2 linked regions of the Canis lupus familiaris genome follow. The protein of the gene in region 1 binds, or shares a complex with, the protein of each later gene. Links are inferred from orthologs where the notes say so. Each region holds a gene or a part of one and is shown on either strand. Other genes may lie near its edges.

What was found.
Region 2: the proteins of NAA35 (region 1) and NAA30 are in contact, whole or in part, in a cryo-EM structure (PDB 7MX2), measured with the Homo sapiens proteins. The link is inferred for Canis lupus familiaris from reciprocal best matches to the Homo sapiens genes NAA35 and NAA30. Residues at the interface, in NP_001308810.1 of Homo sapiens: Leu45, Gly46, Leu48, Leu56, Ala59, Met60, Ala62, Glu64, Lys69, Glu121, Phe313, Pro314, Arg315, Ala444, Leu510, Glu511, Leu512, Glu517, Pro605, Lys606, Phe607, Glu608, Leu609, Asp610, Val614, Arg615, His618, Arg619; in NP_001011713.2 of Homo sapiens: Glu221, Pro238, Ser240, Tyr242, Thr243, Arg245, Tyr246, His249, Asn250, Lys304, Ile324, Glu334, Asn335, Leu336, Gly337, Val339, Arg340, Asp341, Lys342, Arg343, Phe345, Arg346, Tyr347, Tyr348, Leu349, Leu359, Trp360, Leu361, Arg362.

Annotation. Positions count from the first base shown.
Region 1 is NC_049222.1:74,343,565-74,352,108, reverse strand, and holds the start of NAA35 (N-alpha-acetyltransferase 35, NatC auxiliary subunit), read left to right. Parts: upstream 1-2,904; coding exon 2,905-3,028; exon of another isoform or gene 3,029-3,062; intron 3,063-4,382; exon of another isoform or gene 4,383-4,516; intron 4,517-8,544. UniProt on the Homo sapiens protein: Auxillary component of the N-terminal acetyltransferase C (NatC) complex which catalyzes acetylation of N-terminal methionine residues. N-terminal acetylation protects proteins from ubiquitination and degradation by the N-end rule pathway.
Region 2 is NC_049229.1:33,240,889-33,249,460, reverse strand, and holds the start of NAA30 (N-alpha-acetyltransferase 30), read right to left. Parts: upstream 4,410-8,572; 5' UTR 4,172-4,409; intron 3,907-4,171; 5' UTR 3,906-3,906; coding exon 3,102-3,905; intron 1-3,101. UniProt on the Homo sapiens protein: Catalytic subunit of the N-terminal acetyltransferase C (NatC) complex. Catalyzes acetylation of the N-terminal methionine residues of peptides beginning with Met-Leu-Ala and Met-Leu-Gly.

The sequences.
Region 1 (8,544 bases):
GATTTTATTTCTTTTACTCATGAGAGACACAGAAAGAGGCAGAGACACAGGCAGCAGAGGGAGAAGCAGGCTCCCTGCGGGGAGCCTGATGTGGGATTTGATCCTAGGACCCCGGGATCATGACCTGAGCCAAAGGCAGATGCTCAACCACTGAGCCATCCAGGTGCCCCACATTTTTCTTTTTTAGAGTTTCATATAAATGGAAACATAGTCATTTGCTTCTACTCTTGATTTCATTTGCTCAACATAATGTTTTTTCAGATTCATGTTTTTGCATGTCAAGTAGTTCACACCCGTGTTTTGGTAATTATTATTACATTGTACAGATAAGCCACAGATTGTTTATCCATTCACCAGCTGATGAATATTTAGGTTGTTTCCTGTTTTGGATTACTAAAAATGAAGCTACGAAAAGTAATGTACAAGTGGAAATGATATGGGAGAGCTAGGTTCTTGTCTCATGGGGTCAAAGAATGAATCTTGCTGACAACGGAGTGTGAGTAAAGTGATAGAAGTTTATTAAGCAAAGATACAGACAAAGCTCTCAGAAGTGAGAATGGATCCAACAAGGTTGCCCCTGAAGGGTTTTTTGGCTGTTTTTTTACTGAGAACCTAACCAGGGAGCCTATGGCTTTGGGTTTCTTCATGCTTTCTTGAGTGAATGTCATATGGCTGTTTTTGGGTCTGGTGAGTTTCTGTGATTGCTTGGTAACCATCAAACGGGAGAGACTCCCTACATTTTAGATCTAGGGAGCCTGATTTTTTTTTTCTTTTCTATTTTTACTGTCTTAATCTATTTCCTTGGGATGGGTAGGAGCCTGACTTTGGGCCTTTCCCTTATTTTTCCCTGCCTAGCTTCATCTGCCCCTAACTCATTCCGACTTCAGAAACGTTTTCATAGGACAGTCCCAGTGGTGCAGTGGTTAGTTCCTGCCTTCAGCCCCGGGGTGTGATCCTGGAGACCGGGGATCAAGTCCCACGTCGGGCTCCCTGCATGGAGCCTGCTTCTCCCTCTGCCCGTGCCTCTGCTTCTCTCTCTGTGTACGTCTCTGATGAATAAATAAAATCTTAAAAAAAAAGAAACATTTTCATATTTCTAAGAAAATACCTGGGAGTGAAATTGCTGGATCAAGTGATAGTGTATGATCGATTTTCTGGTAAAATACAAACTCAATCAAAGTGACTGCACTATTTTACATTCTTACCAGCAACAGATGAGAGGTCCAGTTGCTCTAAGTCCTTGTCAACATTTGGTGTCGTCTTTTAAATTTTGGCCATTTCAATGGAAATGTAGTAGTAAAGGTGTTTTCTTATTCCTGCCATTCTACTTACATAATACCACTCTAAAATGGATCATGAATACATTTTAAGAAAAACTTAAAACGTTTACAAGTCTGAAAGAAAATGGCTTGGTTGACTGCATATATTTTGTTTCTATTTTCCCTCAGGAATCCTCCAGGCTCTCTAGGACGCCTGAATCCTGTGTCAGGCCGCACTAGCTCGGTGAAACTCACACTCAGGCTTTTCTTGCACGGACACAACTGCCAAGGTCTACAAGGACTTTCCCGGGTCTTTCCCGCCTTACCGTCACCTTTCTAATAATTTCCCAGGGAGCCGCGCGGGGAGGGGCGGGGCTCAGACCCCCCCCAAGCTCCACCCCTCCCCGGGACCCGCCCACCACCCGGGAGTAGGCTTGAGGCAGGGGAAGGAAGGTAGCTTCCGGTCTCGCGATTGGCTCTAATCCCGCGAGAAGAGAAGACGGCAGCCATCGGTGGCAATGGTGAGGGAGGGGGTGTGGCCGGGGCGCGCGAAGTCCCCAGGAGTGAGGGAGAGGGGGCGGGTCGCGCGCACCGGGCGTACGCATGCGCGCACGGGGCGGCCGGGCTGGGCTGAGAGGGGAGGGGGCGGCGGCGGCGGCGGCGGCGGCTGAGGCGGCTGAGGCGGCGTCGTTATTTCCGCGGTCTGGACGGTGCGTGGCGGCGCGGGTGGCCACGGGAGAAGTAGGTAGGGACTGCCGGTGCAGAGCCATTGACTCTCCCTTCCTCCTGCGTCCTAGAGCCGCAGCCCCCCGCGCGTGTGGCGGACCCTGGGGACGCCAGGTCACCCTGCGGCCCCGGCCTCCCGCCGCGCTTCAGGTAGGAGCTGCAGGCTCTCCGGTGTCCGCTGCCCGCCGCCCGCCGAGGCCCCGGCCTTGCCCGGTGTTGCCCGGGCGACGACCCGGCACCGGGCGTGCCCGCCCTCCCGCGCGACGACAGCTCTGTCCTTGCTTCCGCGCCCTGTGGGGCCGGGGCCGGCGCCGGGCCCGGCCGGGCTGACCCGGGGAAGGTGGTCGTGGGGCGGGTCCCGCCTCAGGTGCGCAGCCGCTCTGGGCCGGGCGAGTAGGTGCCCTGCGGGGCGCTCCCGCCCTCGGTGCCCGCCGTGCGAGGCTGTGCGGGGTCCTGCCGGGCCCGGAGAGCTCCGGGCACGTGAGGGACCACCCTGACTCAATAGTTGCCTCGTGGGCCCCGGGCTGCGAGAGGCGGCTCTGAAGAGTGCCTTCCTCATTTGTGTCCGGTGTGCAAAGTTGAAAGCTCTGGAGTTCATCCTGCTTGGGCCAGTGGTGGGGGGGTGGCTTCTGATTTTTTTCCTTGGATGGTGGGAAGGCAAGCTCTTAAAAGCCCTTGTAGGTGCTCGGCTATTAGTAAATAAGCAGCAGTGCTTTTAACGTAAGGTTTAATTGCGTTAAGGTTTTTTTATTTTATTTTTTATTTTTTTTATTTCCCAGTTGCCACTATCAAACTCCGATGAAGTCTGGCAGTTTAGTAAGACTTCCATCCAGGACTTGAGTGAACACACATGGCTTGCAAATAGTCTTGCCCTGAAAGCCACAATCTCTTTTACACCAGTGTTAATTTTATAGGCATTATGGTCATGAAAGCTTCTGTAGAAGATGATGATTCAGGATGGGAGCTCAGTATACCAGAAAAGATGGAAAAAAGCAATACAAGCTGGGTGGACATAACCCAAGATTTTGAAGAAGCTTGTCGAGGTGAGTTTGAATTCTTGGGTTAGAAATTAACAACCTGGGAAAAGGTAAAATAAAATCTTGTGATTTGTAGACTCAAACGTAAGCAACAGGTAAGTGTGGTTTATCAAGTTTGTTAACCACACTTATTCATTCCTTACCCTCTTAATAATTTTAACTTTCATTTAAAGCCAGTATTTGATAGTGCATGAAATACAGATGTTGAAGCAGTTGCTTCAGTTTTTCTAGCCTTAACAGATGAGAGAGTACATGGCAATAATTTCAGACTGTGCAAACATGAATTGTCTTGACCTAAAGATGGTGGACTATTATATGTTTGAGATTTGTAAATAATCAGATCACATTATTTCCTGTCTAAGAGCCTGTAGTGGCTTCCTGTTCAATATAGAATAAAATCCATATTCCATCCCCGTGGCCTGTGTGGTCTGATGCCTGTCTACCACTGACTTCATTTCTGTACCACTGCCCAACTAGGCTCATTATGTTAGTCACAATGTCCTTTCTATGCCATTAAGCTCACCAGGGCATTTTCCCCTTGGGCCTCTGCATATTTCTTTTTCTGTATCTTAAACTGCTTTGCCTCCAGGTCTTTACCTTCACATAGCTGGCTCCTTCCTGGCCAGTTAAATGCTAGCTCCCCAGGGAGGATGTCTCCAAACAATTAATCTAAGTAGATTTAGTAGATTTAGCCCTGTTCTCTTCTGTCCGACTCTACCTCACCTGAATCACTCTGTTTTATTTATTTTTTATTATAATACTTATATACTATCAGAAGCTGTCCTTTCAGTTATTTCTTGTTTACTGTCAGCCCTACCCACTGGAACATAAAGCTCTGTGAGTGCAGACATTTTGTCTGTAAGCCTAACACAGAGAACATTGCCTGGAACATAGTAATGGTTTAACAAATGCAAAGGCATAAATGATTAGAGAAGTGAGCATATTTGTTGTCTGAGGAGAATGGGTCTTAGGGAGAGACAGGAAAGAGACAAATGGTAGAGTGGGAGGGGTGCCTGGGGGGCTCAGTTGTTTAAGCAGCTGCCTCCTGCTCAGTTCCTGTGATCAAGCCCCACTTCAGGAACCTACCTCTTCCTTTCCCTCTGCCCTCCCCATGTGCCTCCCTCCCCACTGTGCTCTCTTGCTCATGCTCTCAAATAAATAAATAAAATTTTTTTGGAAAAAAAAATGGTAGAGTGAGAGATTGAATTTGAAGAGAGGATGGGATAAAGAACATGGTAGAGAAATTAACTTAGGGGACCAGAATGAGGAATTACTGAGACAGGAGGAACTGAGGTTAGGATTGGTGAAGAAACAGGTAGATTTCTAAACGAGTGGGGAGGAATGGTAGAGGGATACACACCCTGATGGCTTCTCTGTTTTTACTAAACTGAAGGTTAAGTCTTCGTTGTTGATGAGATGGAGTGTTTAGAATAGTGCCCTTAGAAGGAGGAGTAGAGACTCGGAGTAGCTGCAGGTGGTAAGGGAGTCAGCTGGGCATAAGCAAAATGATAACACGTGCACTGACCCTTTGTTATGAAACGTGTCCATTTAAAGAAAGCAAAAGTGAAATTGTGGAAAGAATATTAGACTGGAAATTGGGGGATTGCCCATATCCATCTATCCAAGGGAGAGAGAAAGAAGTGTAAGTTACAGTGTAATTTCTGTGCCCAGAGATCTTAAACTGTTGATGGATTATGCCCGTCATCCTGCACTGATTTTTAAGTGATCTATATTAGAGGGTTGTTGTTCTGAACCTAAATGGAAAAGGCTTTATGAAGTTCATATGGCTTGAGTTGGGCCTTAGAGGAGTGGTGGAGTTTCTGTAAGTGAATATGAGGGAATTATTCTAGACTCAGATGAACTGTTACTCTCACCAGAGTTCATGAGAGTTGGATATTTGAGGGAGAGTGAGTAATTTTGCTTCCTCATGAGCAGAACCTTAAATAGGCAATATGGTTTTATTCCTGTCTCAGTGGGGATTGAGGAGGGGGAGCATGTCATTTTGTTGCCAACCTCAAACCATCCTATTAACTTTTCAATAATTAGCTCTTGCTTGGTCTGAAGTGGCACAGATGTGAGGTATATTTGAAATGAAAAAGTTGATGTAGAAGTGATCTTCCTTTACATATAGATTTAGGACTAAAGTCTTTTGGGAGCTCTTGAGCCTATATTATTAATAATTTGTTTTCTTGAAATCAGATTCATAGCATTAATTTAGCTTAGACTCCAGCAGCTTTCTGAGGGCTAAATTTAAAACAAATATTATACCCTGTAACTGTTGCAGTGGTCTTTCCTCTTCAGTAACAGTGCGATGGTATTTGACTAGACCTTGGGGATTATTTATTTTGGTACCGAGAAAGCAATCTGCATAGTGATGACAGTGTTTTTCATGTACATTTCTATCTGTTCTTTTAGTGACTCTTCGAAGTCTTCTGGACCAAATTCTAATTTCATCACTTCTTTTATTTCCTGTTAGGCAGATGGCACACATTCCCTCCACATTTCCTATTTTCAACATTGAGGCCCTTGGCCTTTTTTGGGGGGTAGGAGGGCTTTTTTTCCCCCCTTAAATTATTTTGAATATATGGTGCTATTACTGTTACTGTGCCTGGTATGTAACATGTCATTTATCTAACACTTCTGAGCTTTGCTTCTCTAGGAAACTGCCTAATTCAAACCATCTCATTGCCTCCTATAAAAAGTCTTTGATCTTCATATTTCATTTGGTTGTCTAAAATTAGGTGCTTTCTGAAGTACAAACCTACAACTTAAATGATCATAAAATATATATTGCTCATTCTTCTACCTATCAGATTCTTTTCTTCCACACTGTTTATCCTAGATTGATGACACTGTCAGGTATCTAGAACTCAGAGGTAATCCAAGGTTGGCTGTCATTACTTCCATTCTTTTTGAGCTTTAGTCTAGAATGAAATGGGCCTATCCTGTCATTTCATATCCTTCTCTCTTTGATGGTTTTACTCATTCCTCCTCTGTCTTTCTCACCCCATGTTTTAAGGCCCCATCACTTATCCAGTTTGTCCCACTCTTGCCCAGTACTTTTGGAAAACTTTTATTGATTTCTCTTCCTCTTTTAAAACCTAGGATTCTTAAGTTTCTTGTTCCTTTTCCTTTTTGTGTTGTCTTCTCTCATTTAGAATGTTTGTAGATCCTAAGATATATTTGTTTAAAGAGTGAATGAAAGGTGCCTGGGTGTCTCAATTGGTTAGCGTCTCCTTTGGCTCAGGTTATGATCCCAGGGTCCTGGAATGAAGCCCAGCATTGGGCTCCCTGCTTAGCGAGGAGTCTGCTTCTCACTCTCCCTCTGCCTCTTCTGCTGCACGTGCCCACTCTCGTGCAGGCGCTTTTTCTCTCAGATAAATAAAATATATATATATATTTTTAGATATTTATTTATTTATTTATTTATTTATTTATTTATTTATTTATTTATTTATTTTATGAGAGACACAGAGAAAGAGAGAGGCAGAGAACACAGGCAGAGGGAGAAGCAGGCTCCATGCAGGGTTCCCGATGTGGGACTCAATCCTTGGTCTCCAGGATCAGGCCCTGGACTGAAGGCGGCGCTAAACAGCTGAGCCACCCAGGGTTCCTCAGATAAATAAAATCTTAAAAAAAAAAAAAAAAAAAATTTAAGGCCATGTTTCTTCATATTAGAGTATCTGGATATTGTACTTCAGAGGTTTGAGAACCACTGGATTACATTAAATGCTATCATTTTGGGTGATTGCCTGAAACCAATGTAATTACGAACACAAGATTGGGAACTGAAATTATAGCAATACTTGATTATAATGTTAGTATCCATTTGGTAATCTGTAATCTTCTTAAAAAATTATCACCAAACTGATTACATGGCATTTAACAATTATCTTAAACAAAACATAGATTCTTGATAAAACTTTCATGGACTCCTCTGCTGAATTTATAAACCCCAATCTGAGAGTCCTTGTTCTAGGAATTTGCTGTTTGTATTACTTTATTCAAGAAGAAAAAGATGGAAATGGCTTGGTGAAAGATCTGGGCAAATCTAAGTAAGTATATTGGGCAAAGATCTGTAAAGAAAATTTTAAGTGATTCTGATTTTGGAAATTTATGTTTTCCTTGTTACATCTTCTCAATGTTTTCAGTGGTGGGGCATGGGTGGGGTGGGCTGTACTAGTAATTGTGGGTCACTTTAGATCAGCGATTATCTGCCAGGGTTGATTTTGCTTCTTAAGGAACATTTGCCAATGTCTTGCAACATTTTTGGTCGTCACAGTAGGAGGCGGGTGGCTGCTGGTGTCTAGTGGGTACACACCAAGGATACTGCACTGGATAGCCCCCACAAAGAAGTAATTGTTTTGCACAAAATGCCAACAGTGCTGTGTAGTTCACTCTATTTAGGTTACTTTCAATAATATTCGACTATCATTTAATCTTTCTGACCCTGGATTCTTGGGGAAGGGAACATATGGATATTGGATGTCCTAACACCTCTAACAACTAGCATTAACATAGAATAAGCAGTGGGAAGAGAATGGGAGCTTTGATGCACTTTGAGGTCTTTTCTGCATTGTTGAATACATCTTAACAGGTTTTCTCATTAATTAGGTATTGTGTAGCCTCCTTTTTGTTGGGAATTTTTGGTTAACAGAAAGGTTGTCCTCAGAAGTCAACGCCTTCCCTCTTTTAGCTGGTTATTTTAATATCCATAATTCTAGATAGCATGCTTTTATTGTTACTTCTGGATTCCTTGCATTCACGATTTGGCATTATCTGTGGACTTCTTTTTTTTTTAAGATTTTATTTATTCATGAGAGATGCAGAGAGAGAAGCAGGCTCCATGCAGGGAGCCTGACGCGGAATTCGATCCCGGGTCCCCAGGATCAAGCCCTGGGCTGAAGGTGGCGCTAAACCACTGAGCCACCCAGGCTACCCTGTGGAGTTCTATCTATAGTTATAACTACATTACGGATATGCAAATATTATCCATAGCTGAGCTAAAGAGTAAAGTTTTTCTTTTTCTTTCCTGTATAATTCTTACACAAAACTTTTTAATCCAAAAATCTATGTGGTTGTCATTAATTCTACCTTAGACTCTTTACTACTTGTCTAAATCTCCTTAAGACATTCAGACACCTCAGACATCTATTGTTTTCATCTCTTTGAAGAAATTTCTCCTCCAGCCTCTTATTGCTCCAATCTGGGCTTCTTGCCTTTGTACATCATGTGATCCTGAGATCATTAGCAGCGGGGTTTCTTACTTTAATATAAATTAGACGTCTTTAGTCACCTCCTGAGTAGAATGCATGGAAGATACAATTTTTTGAGGTTCTGGTTGTCTGAATATGTCTTTATTCTCCCACTTTATTGATAATAACATGTTTGGATACCTTTGAGAATTTCGAGGGCGTGACCCATTGATGTTTTTGCTCTGACGTTGCTATTAAGTTTGATGACATTTTGATAACTGAGTTTTCATAGGTAACCTTTAGGATCTTCTGTATGACCCCGTGTAC
Region 2 (8,572 bases), on another chromosome or scaffold:
ATACACAATACAATTGGACAATACTTCCAAATTGGATAGGAATTTCAAACAAATCTTTGTCCTTTGACCTAGGCAGTGACAGGCAAACAAAGTATTATCAGTTCACAACTGGACTAGATTGACTTCTTCCTAACTAAGTATCTGTAGGAGCAAATATCAAGTGGTATGCATCAGTAAAGCAGAAAAGCCCAGTATATAATATATTGTTACTAATAAGGTATTGGTAGTGAGGAAGACTTGCGCTCTTCTTTTTTTCTGATAAATTGCTGATGGATATACACTTTTAAGACTCAATAAACAGCTTGTCAATTTCTCCAAATAAAAGTTCTGCACATATTTGGAACTCATACTATCAAATGTGTTCTTTTTTCAAGGATGGGAACTGAAAAATTCCTGGCAAGATTTAGACTTAACACTACAAGGTCAAGTGCTTGCCAATCTATAAAACTTGAAAAATACAAGTTGCATGAAACAGAAATTCCCAAATTTCAGAATGCTATATATGGGAAAACAGAGGAAGCCAGAAAGTTAAAATAAACAGACAATATTACATCACTGGTAATAAGTTTAAGAAGTTCAAAAGGCACCAAGAGCTGAAAATACCATGAACTCAAAAAACGTAGAGAGAAATTAGTTAAGAGAATAATAATTGACAGTGTCTCCAATTTGTCTGGCACTCTACTTTCACATCTTCTACAATTATTAGGACGAATCATAAGAAACTGTTGTTTTTGTTAGATATGGTCAAGTATTGGCAATTTTCTTTCTTCATTTCGAACTCATACATTCTATTTGATCCATTTTAGGTTATATGGAAACGAGAACCATTTTGGAGGTTTTTAATCTCTTTAGAGTATTGATGTTTGTAAGAACTGTCCCTTGATGAAGCATAACTTGGTAACATAATGATCTTCGCTGAACGGGTCAAGGGTATGTCATTTTTCAGGTTCTTTCCATGAGACGTCAAGTAAAATTCTAGCTTTACCTCTCTGCCACTAAATATCTGAAGCTTTTTTTTTTTTTTAAGATTTTATTTTTAAATAATTTTTACACCCAACTTAGGACTTGAACTCACAACTCACAACCTTGAGATCAAGTGTTGCATATCCACCAATTGAGCCAGCCCTAAATATCTGAAGATTAAACATTTTAAGTCACTTTGGTCCTTAATCTTTTTGCATTAAAAAAAAAAAAAAAAAGTGAGGTTGAGCTATACTGTATTTAAGATCCTTTATGGTTCTAAAATATGACTTAAAACTTGTTTTTAATTAGTTCTTACAGGAAATTCAAATTTTTAAACGTGAACCCAAAGGCCCCAATTCTAAACGGCCTCTGATTAACTACTGTTTTATGTTCAATACCTGCAGATACATACTTGCACTAGTAAATCTTAGATGTCAACCACCTGTACAGTATCTCACCTTCCAGAGATTCAGAATTTAACATTAAACAACTCGCTATTAAAGAGCTAAAGTACAAATTAGCTGATAAATTGGAAAGAGCCTATGAAATATCAAAACTAAAATTTACTAAGTTTATCAGAGTCTAAAATGGCAGACAAGTTGAGAGGGGCCCAGGTAATATCAGAACCCAAAGCTGACTAAATATTATACATACAACTATTTTCTGTAATTAACAAAAATACATATAATATTTCAATTTAAGGTTTGGCTCAATTGTATGCATTTGTGGGTAAACTTACAGTTAAATCAATTGTAAATTTTTAGCAATTACACTGACTTTTACATGTATAATAATGCTATAAAATCACTTTCCCTGTGATCACATGCCTGTGTCAATGCATGTCTAAGTACGTCTATTTTGATACAATGGCTGCTAGAGTCCTGGGAGGGCAGTTTTGTAGACTGTAAGATAGTTCCCCACAATTTAAACAAACATAATAAATTGAAGTTTAGCAAAGTGACCACAGAAAATAACAGAACTACCATTCTGAAGTTGTATTTTCAGGTTACCACCAACATATAGAACCAAAAAGATTTCTAAAGCACCGTCAAAATGTCTTGCAGGGATTTGCTATGTGCAACTAAGTCAATGCTAAAATAATAAAAGTAGTAGCTTCTCCCTTTACACATCATAAAACATTTTTTAAAAGCACAGTGCCTTTCCTCAGTGAAATTCAATGGCAATAAAATGCCTGTGAGCACAAAGATATAAAGCATATACCTTCAGTTAATACTTAAGTGATAGGTTTCATACAGACTAACATTGGTCAGTGTTATTGGGGAAAAAAAACGGTACTGCCAGTACTATACAAATTAAAAATACCTATTTAGCTTGTTGCACAGCCAAATCTTTTTTGCTTACATGTAAGTATAAAAATTTTGTCAACTATGCTTTACACAAGCCGGTGTTACTACTAGTATTTAGGTATACCTAGACCAGTTTCTTAAAGAGAAAAATTAGATTAGTAACGATTTCACACTTGGTTCCCTACTTTCCACAAAAAGATATTTTGTTCAAGTTTCAGTCATCTTTCAGCCACCAGAAAGGTTAGTAGCACCATCTAGCACCAGAAAGCAGGCCGGCTACAACTGTTAATTGTCCTGTTGAAGTAAAAGGAAACTATCTCCGTATTAACAGAAAATGCTTGTAAGATTTAATTCTCCAATGTGGCCACAGCAAGTTTACTGACAATCATGTTCACCAAAACATGTTTATGCATACACTCTTCCCTGATTATGGCTGTAATTGAGAGATTAATAAAGCCTGTATCCGAACAGAACCAATGTTCAAATTAAATGATTGCAAAGTGCTTGGAGGAGGAGGGAGGATAATTAAAGACGGTTAAACATGATTATAAGCTAATATAAACAAGGATCCAAGACCCCCAAACGTGCATCATACAGGCTTGCTGCATTTACAGGAGTATCAAGTTAAGCCAGATCAAGACGTCTTCCCTTCAAAACAAGTTTCATTAAATAACCGGTAGTGTGTACACGCACTTTACATCATGTACCGTACTATATGAAACGCAGAAGTATACACATCCATCCACTGCCACTCTCGGCCCTCACACTCCCTGCCCCGCACGGCCTGGATCTCTCTGCTGGGTTCACCCTCTTTGCATTCCATCCACTTACCAAGAAGCACAGCTGTGGCCAGTTGTGGATAAAATATCTATACGTATAAATGGAGTAGGGTTCAGACAGATCTTTGGTGATCAGTCTCATGATATCGGGCATTTGTAGCTCGGATTCATATCGGACATAACGTATCGTCCGATCCTCCCCAGGCTCAACCTCCCTGCCCGAGGGGCTTCTTAAACTGCAGCCGGTGGTCAGGGATGAAGACAGCAGCCGCACCTGCCGGTCTTCCTCCTCTTCCTCCTGCTCGGTGCCCTCCGCCAGTCCATTGCGGGCCGCCGCAGGATCGCTCGCCGCCACTGCCTCTGCCGGGCTGGGGAGCGCAGTTCTTCCATTACTGGGGAGGCAGTGAGGGGGGCTCTCGCCCGAGTGTACCCCAGCTCCTTTTGTTGCAGTCGCTCTGGGCCCCCCGTCGGGGGTGGCCGTGGTCGTGGCCGCCTCCGCCGCGCTCAGAACCTTGCTCTTGAGGGAGGCGGCCGCCCGGAGGTGCCGCAGTTCGGGGCTGATCAATCCGTTGAGCTGCTGCTGCTCCTGCGGCGGCTGAGGGCAGCGAAGGCACGGATGCCCCTTGGCCGCCGCCGCCGCCGCCGCCTCGCCGCCCGCCGGGCTCCTACCGCTGCCGCTGCCGCTGCCGCCGCCGCCGCCGCCGCCGCCTTCGTGCTCCTCGTCGTCCTCCTCGTCCTCGCTGCAGCAGGCGAGGGCGGCCCCCGCCGGGAAGGGGCAGCGGGGCTCGGCCGCCGCCGAGGCCGGAGGTGCTGGTGGTGGGAGGAGGCTGCTAGGCCCAGGCGGTACCTCCGCCATCCTAGAGGCGACACAGACCGAGAGGGGAGGCCATGAGAGCCGGCGGACGAGCGCGCCGCAGCAGAGGGGGCGGCGGCGACGGTGTGGGGGGGGAACAAAGGCAGAGACCGTCCCTCTCGGAGCGGCCCCCCCAATTCCCCAGGGCCGCGGGCCCCCCCGCTCTTCAGCGCCGCCCAGCTGTTCAGCCGGCCACCGTCCCCGTCCGCCCGCACCCGTCCGCCGGCCCTGTCACCCGCGCCCCTCCCTGCCCGCGCCGCGCGGCTCACCCCGCACAGGTCCCCGCCGCCACTGCCGCCACTCCTCTTCCTCCTCAGCCGCCGCCGCCGCCGCCTCCTCCGCCGCCGCGGCCGCCTCCACCGCCGCCAAGGTTCACACTCAGCCGCCGTCGCCGTAAAGCGCCTCGGCTGTTACCCCGGGTAAAGTTTCCTAGGCCTGGCTTTACGACACTTCCCTGCCTGCCGGCTGCCGGGGCCAAGGGAAAGGGGCGTGGAGGGAGGTGACCTGTGGAGGGGCGGGGACGGAGGTGTCTCCTGCGGGCCCCGGGCGGGGGCCGCGTGCTGACGGGTGGGGCAGCGGGGCGGGGAAGCTGCGGAGGGCTTTGGAGTCTCCGGCTCCCCGGCCGCGCGTCCTCGGCTTTGGGACTCCGCCGCCGCCCGCGGAGCTCCTGACGCCGGGCCGGGGAGAGCAGGGGGCGGGACCGGAGCTCGGGGGTTGCAAGCGCGCCCGCCCGCCCTCCCGCCCCCGCGGAGCTGCCGCGAAGCCGGCCCGCTGGAGGCCTGCCGACCCGGCCGCGCGGGAGTCCCCTAAAGATGCTCTTCCTCCGCGCTCCTGCGTTTCCCCAGACCCGGGGAGGAGGGCGGAGGAAGGAGGGTGGTTACCTGAGTCCCTTGAAAGTGGAGCAAAACTAAATAGGGATAAATTAATTATATTAGTTTATAAATTAAATAAATAAAGGAGAAAAGAGAGGACGTTAGGAGGGGGTTGAAAACTGGTTTGTTTGTAGTGTGAATTAAGCTTAACTCGTCTGCCCCTTTGAGACCAGGGAAGGTGGACAGGTAGTCCCCCTCCTCTCTCTTTACCCGCCTTCACCCCACCCAGGAATTCGGAGGTAAATGTGATTTGGAGATAAAGGTGCTGGACAGATGCAAGCGCGTCTAGGGAAGGCTTAAGAGATGGTGGAGGAGAGTGAAAACGGCCAGAAAAGCGCGTTTCTAAACTTGTGACAAGAACTGTCACCGGGAAAGTAATGCCCTGAAGCTCGCTCCGCACTCGCTCCACCCAGCGGTCGGCCCAGGCGCGTTGCAAAAGGAAAAGCACCGCGGCACGCACTTGAGCGTGTGGCCCCGCTCTTTTCCTCCCTAGCCCGCAAATGGTGATGCCCAGCAGGTCTGTTCTTGTAACTCTCCACCACACGGAGCGAATTCAAGCTTTTCGAAGACCCGTTTGTAGAGCCAGTCATGTCAGCCGCAGATGGACGTCTTCAGGGACATAATTCTGTGACTGCTTATGTTTGCAACTTCCTGCCATGGCATGAACTCTAGAAAGTGGGATACACTGTAGCATAGCTATTAGGATACAATTTTTAGGATCCTTGTCACTAAAGATAGTAAGGACAAACTACCACCTTCCATATAGAAGTTCAGTCGATAGTGATAAAAAATAATAAAATATGTTACTATGTACCAAGTCCTGTTCTAAGTATCTTACAAGTATTTATTGACTCATAAGTTTTAATAAAAACTGATTTATAGGTTTTTTATAGAAATATTGACATTTATTTCAGCCTTGTCTATAATCGGAAAAAATAAGTCCAAACCACCTTTGTATCTATTAATACAGGAATGATTAAAATAAGCTTATGATACCTAATACATGGACTATAATAGAATGTATTGGTACACTTCCAGTTACTATGACTGCATTGCAAATTATCCCCACAACCCAGTGTTATAAAACAACCATTTATTATGCCAACAGATTCTGTGAGTCAAGAATTCAGACAGCACAGCAGGAATGACTTTTCTCTGTTCCCTTATGCATAGGGCCTCAACTGGAAGTCTGAGGATTAGAATCATCTGAAAACTTTTCACTTTCATGTTGGTGATTGATACTGGCTGGAGGCTGCTGGCTGGAAACCTCAGCTCAACTCCATGTAGACCTCTCCAGGTGGTCTCTTAATATGGACTGCTTTGGGCTTTTTCACAGCATGATGGCTAGGTTCCCAGGGTGAGTATCCCAAGAGAAGGAGAGCCAGGTAGGAGCATATTCTCTTTTATCTGCCTTAGAAGTCATGCAGTGTCAGTTGTGCCACCTTCTATTTCTCTAGGACCTCACAAAGCCTCATCCAGGTTCACAGGCAGGGGAAATAAACCATACTTTTTGATGAGGAGAGGCAAGGTTTTTAAAGAGCATGTGGAACCAGAAATATTGCTGTGGCCATTTTGGTGCTTAAGACCTCTAAAACACCCTAAAGAGATAAAGTAAACAAATAAGTACAATGGGATCCCATTTATGGTTTTTAAAAACTAAGACAAAAACCGTATTTCCAAATGCACATACATTGTTTAACAATGCATATTTTTCAAATGACGTAGGTTCAAAGTCAAAGAAACAATGATCTGGGGGTGCCTGGGTGGCTCAGTGGTTGAGCACCTGCCTTCGGCTCAGGTCATGATCCTGGGGTCCTAGGGCCGAATCCCGCATCGGAGTCTGCTTCTGCCTCTGCCTGTGTCTCTGCCTCTCTCTCTGTGTCTCTCATGAGTAAATTGAAAACAAACAAACAAACAAACAAACAATGATCTGTTCAAGTCATGCAGGAAAAAAAAAATGGCCAAAATGGTTCCATACAATTCCCCAAGACATATTGAAGGATCTTTTTTACTTAGAAAAATGTATCTCATTATCTGTGGAGTATAACCCTGTCCTAAAAAAGATGTGACTCCATGTAATGAATGAGTGACGGCAAGTCTTAATGTTCTTTCTATACTGTAACTTGGTACTGAGCTTTCTCACACTGAGGAGTTCACTTAATGTTGTCTCACAGTTATTTTCAGAAAGACAAGAGTTATAAAGACCTTCTAGAGGTCAGTGACTGAGTCTTATTTACGTATTATTCACATATCTAATACATGAGACTTGTCTGGGTTTTTTGTTTTTTATTTTTTTTACTACATATGCTATTCTCTCAGCAATTGAGAATGCTTATAATTACAGAGTAAATTCTGGCCTGCTTGCTAGTTGATAAGTTAATAAGATATCTGGTATCTAAGCTCCAGTGACTCTGCTTTATATCCTATTAAAATCCCAATGATGATCTTCTAAGTCAGAAGACTTCTCTAAGAAACCTATCCCTTATATTTGTAAAAATCTTTTCTTTTTTATTCATGTTTGTGAGTAATATGCTTATGGCAGCATTATTTTAGGTGTGAAAATAGGATTAGTTCACTCTAACACTTTAGGCACATTTGCCTATAATGAGGTTCTGAAAAGACAACTATCTCTGTGTGCAATGACTTCAGAGGAAGGAATGGTCTTGGAGCAGGGAAGGTGTAACCAGTGATAGTCTTCTATCTGGATAATTGGTATTTTCATTGTTTTGTCATATCTTATGATGCAATAGTCACGTATTAACTATTGTCTTAATTATTATTGTCTTAACTATTGTCTTTGTTCTCTTTTGAACAATGAAAGGACACATTTAAGTTTTTTAGAAGAAAAAACTCCTCATTAAATCAATTAAAATAACCAACAGCAATTTTGAAGTACTAGCCTAAAGCAACTTCCTGAAGGAGAAAAGTTCCTCCCTAATTCTAATAGCTAGACATTTTTTCTCTTGTTGGCCAGATTTAGGGGGCAATCCTAGCTGTGTACCTACCTGAAAGGTAACTGTGGGAATGAAGATGTTAATAATGGAGAGATGCTTTAAGTCTCTTGATTCAACAGGATGTCATGTCATGTGCCATAGGCACACATACTGAATAATTTAAATATTCGTGTTGTTTTATTTTACATGCCATGTGGCTCTTAATCCCACTAATCCTATCTATTATACATAAAGTCTTGAATATGAGTGTCCTTAACTTTGTTTTATCCTAGATGAAAGAATGGGGATACATCACATTTGAGATTTATAGAATTTAATCAAAGGATGAATATTAGTATATTGTTTTACCACCTATAATCCTAGAACACTGTGAGATTCCCAGGTAAAGTGCTTTAATTAACAATTTGATTCTTCCCTTTGAATTTGAGGGAGTGCCAGTCTGTTAAAGAACAGACTTTGAGAACCCTGGTTGGCAGTCCCAATTGTAGGCATAGATTTTATTTGTATGGCTGAGGCCTCAGGGGTATAAGGAACCAGAGAGGCCTATGGTCAAGTGGTCACTATTTCTATTACTCTCAACATCATACTTCCACAACCTGCTGAGGGCATGGACAGGCTGATTCTCATATCTCCACTTGAGTAGGTGAGAGGTGCTGGAGAAAATCATAAATTCCTATATATTAAAGCCACTGAAAATTCTCGGCCTCCAATTTAGTTATGCCCTCAGTGATCAGTACTCTAGAGTTGTTTTTATCAGTTTTCCAGGCTAGCTTCATCTAATAGCAACTATCTTTGACCACTGCTTCACACTCTATTCAGGCAGGCCTCCACTTCACTAGGAAAA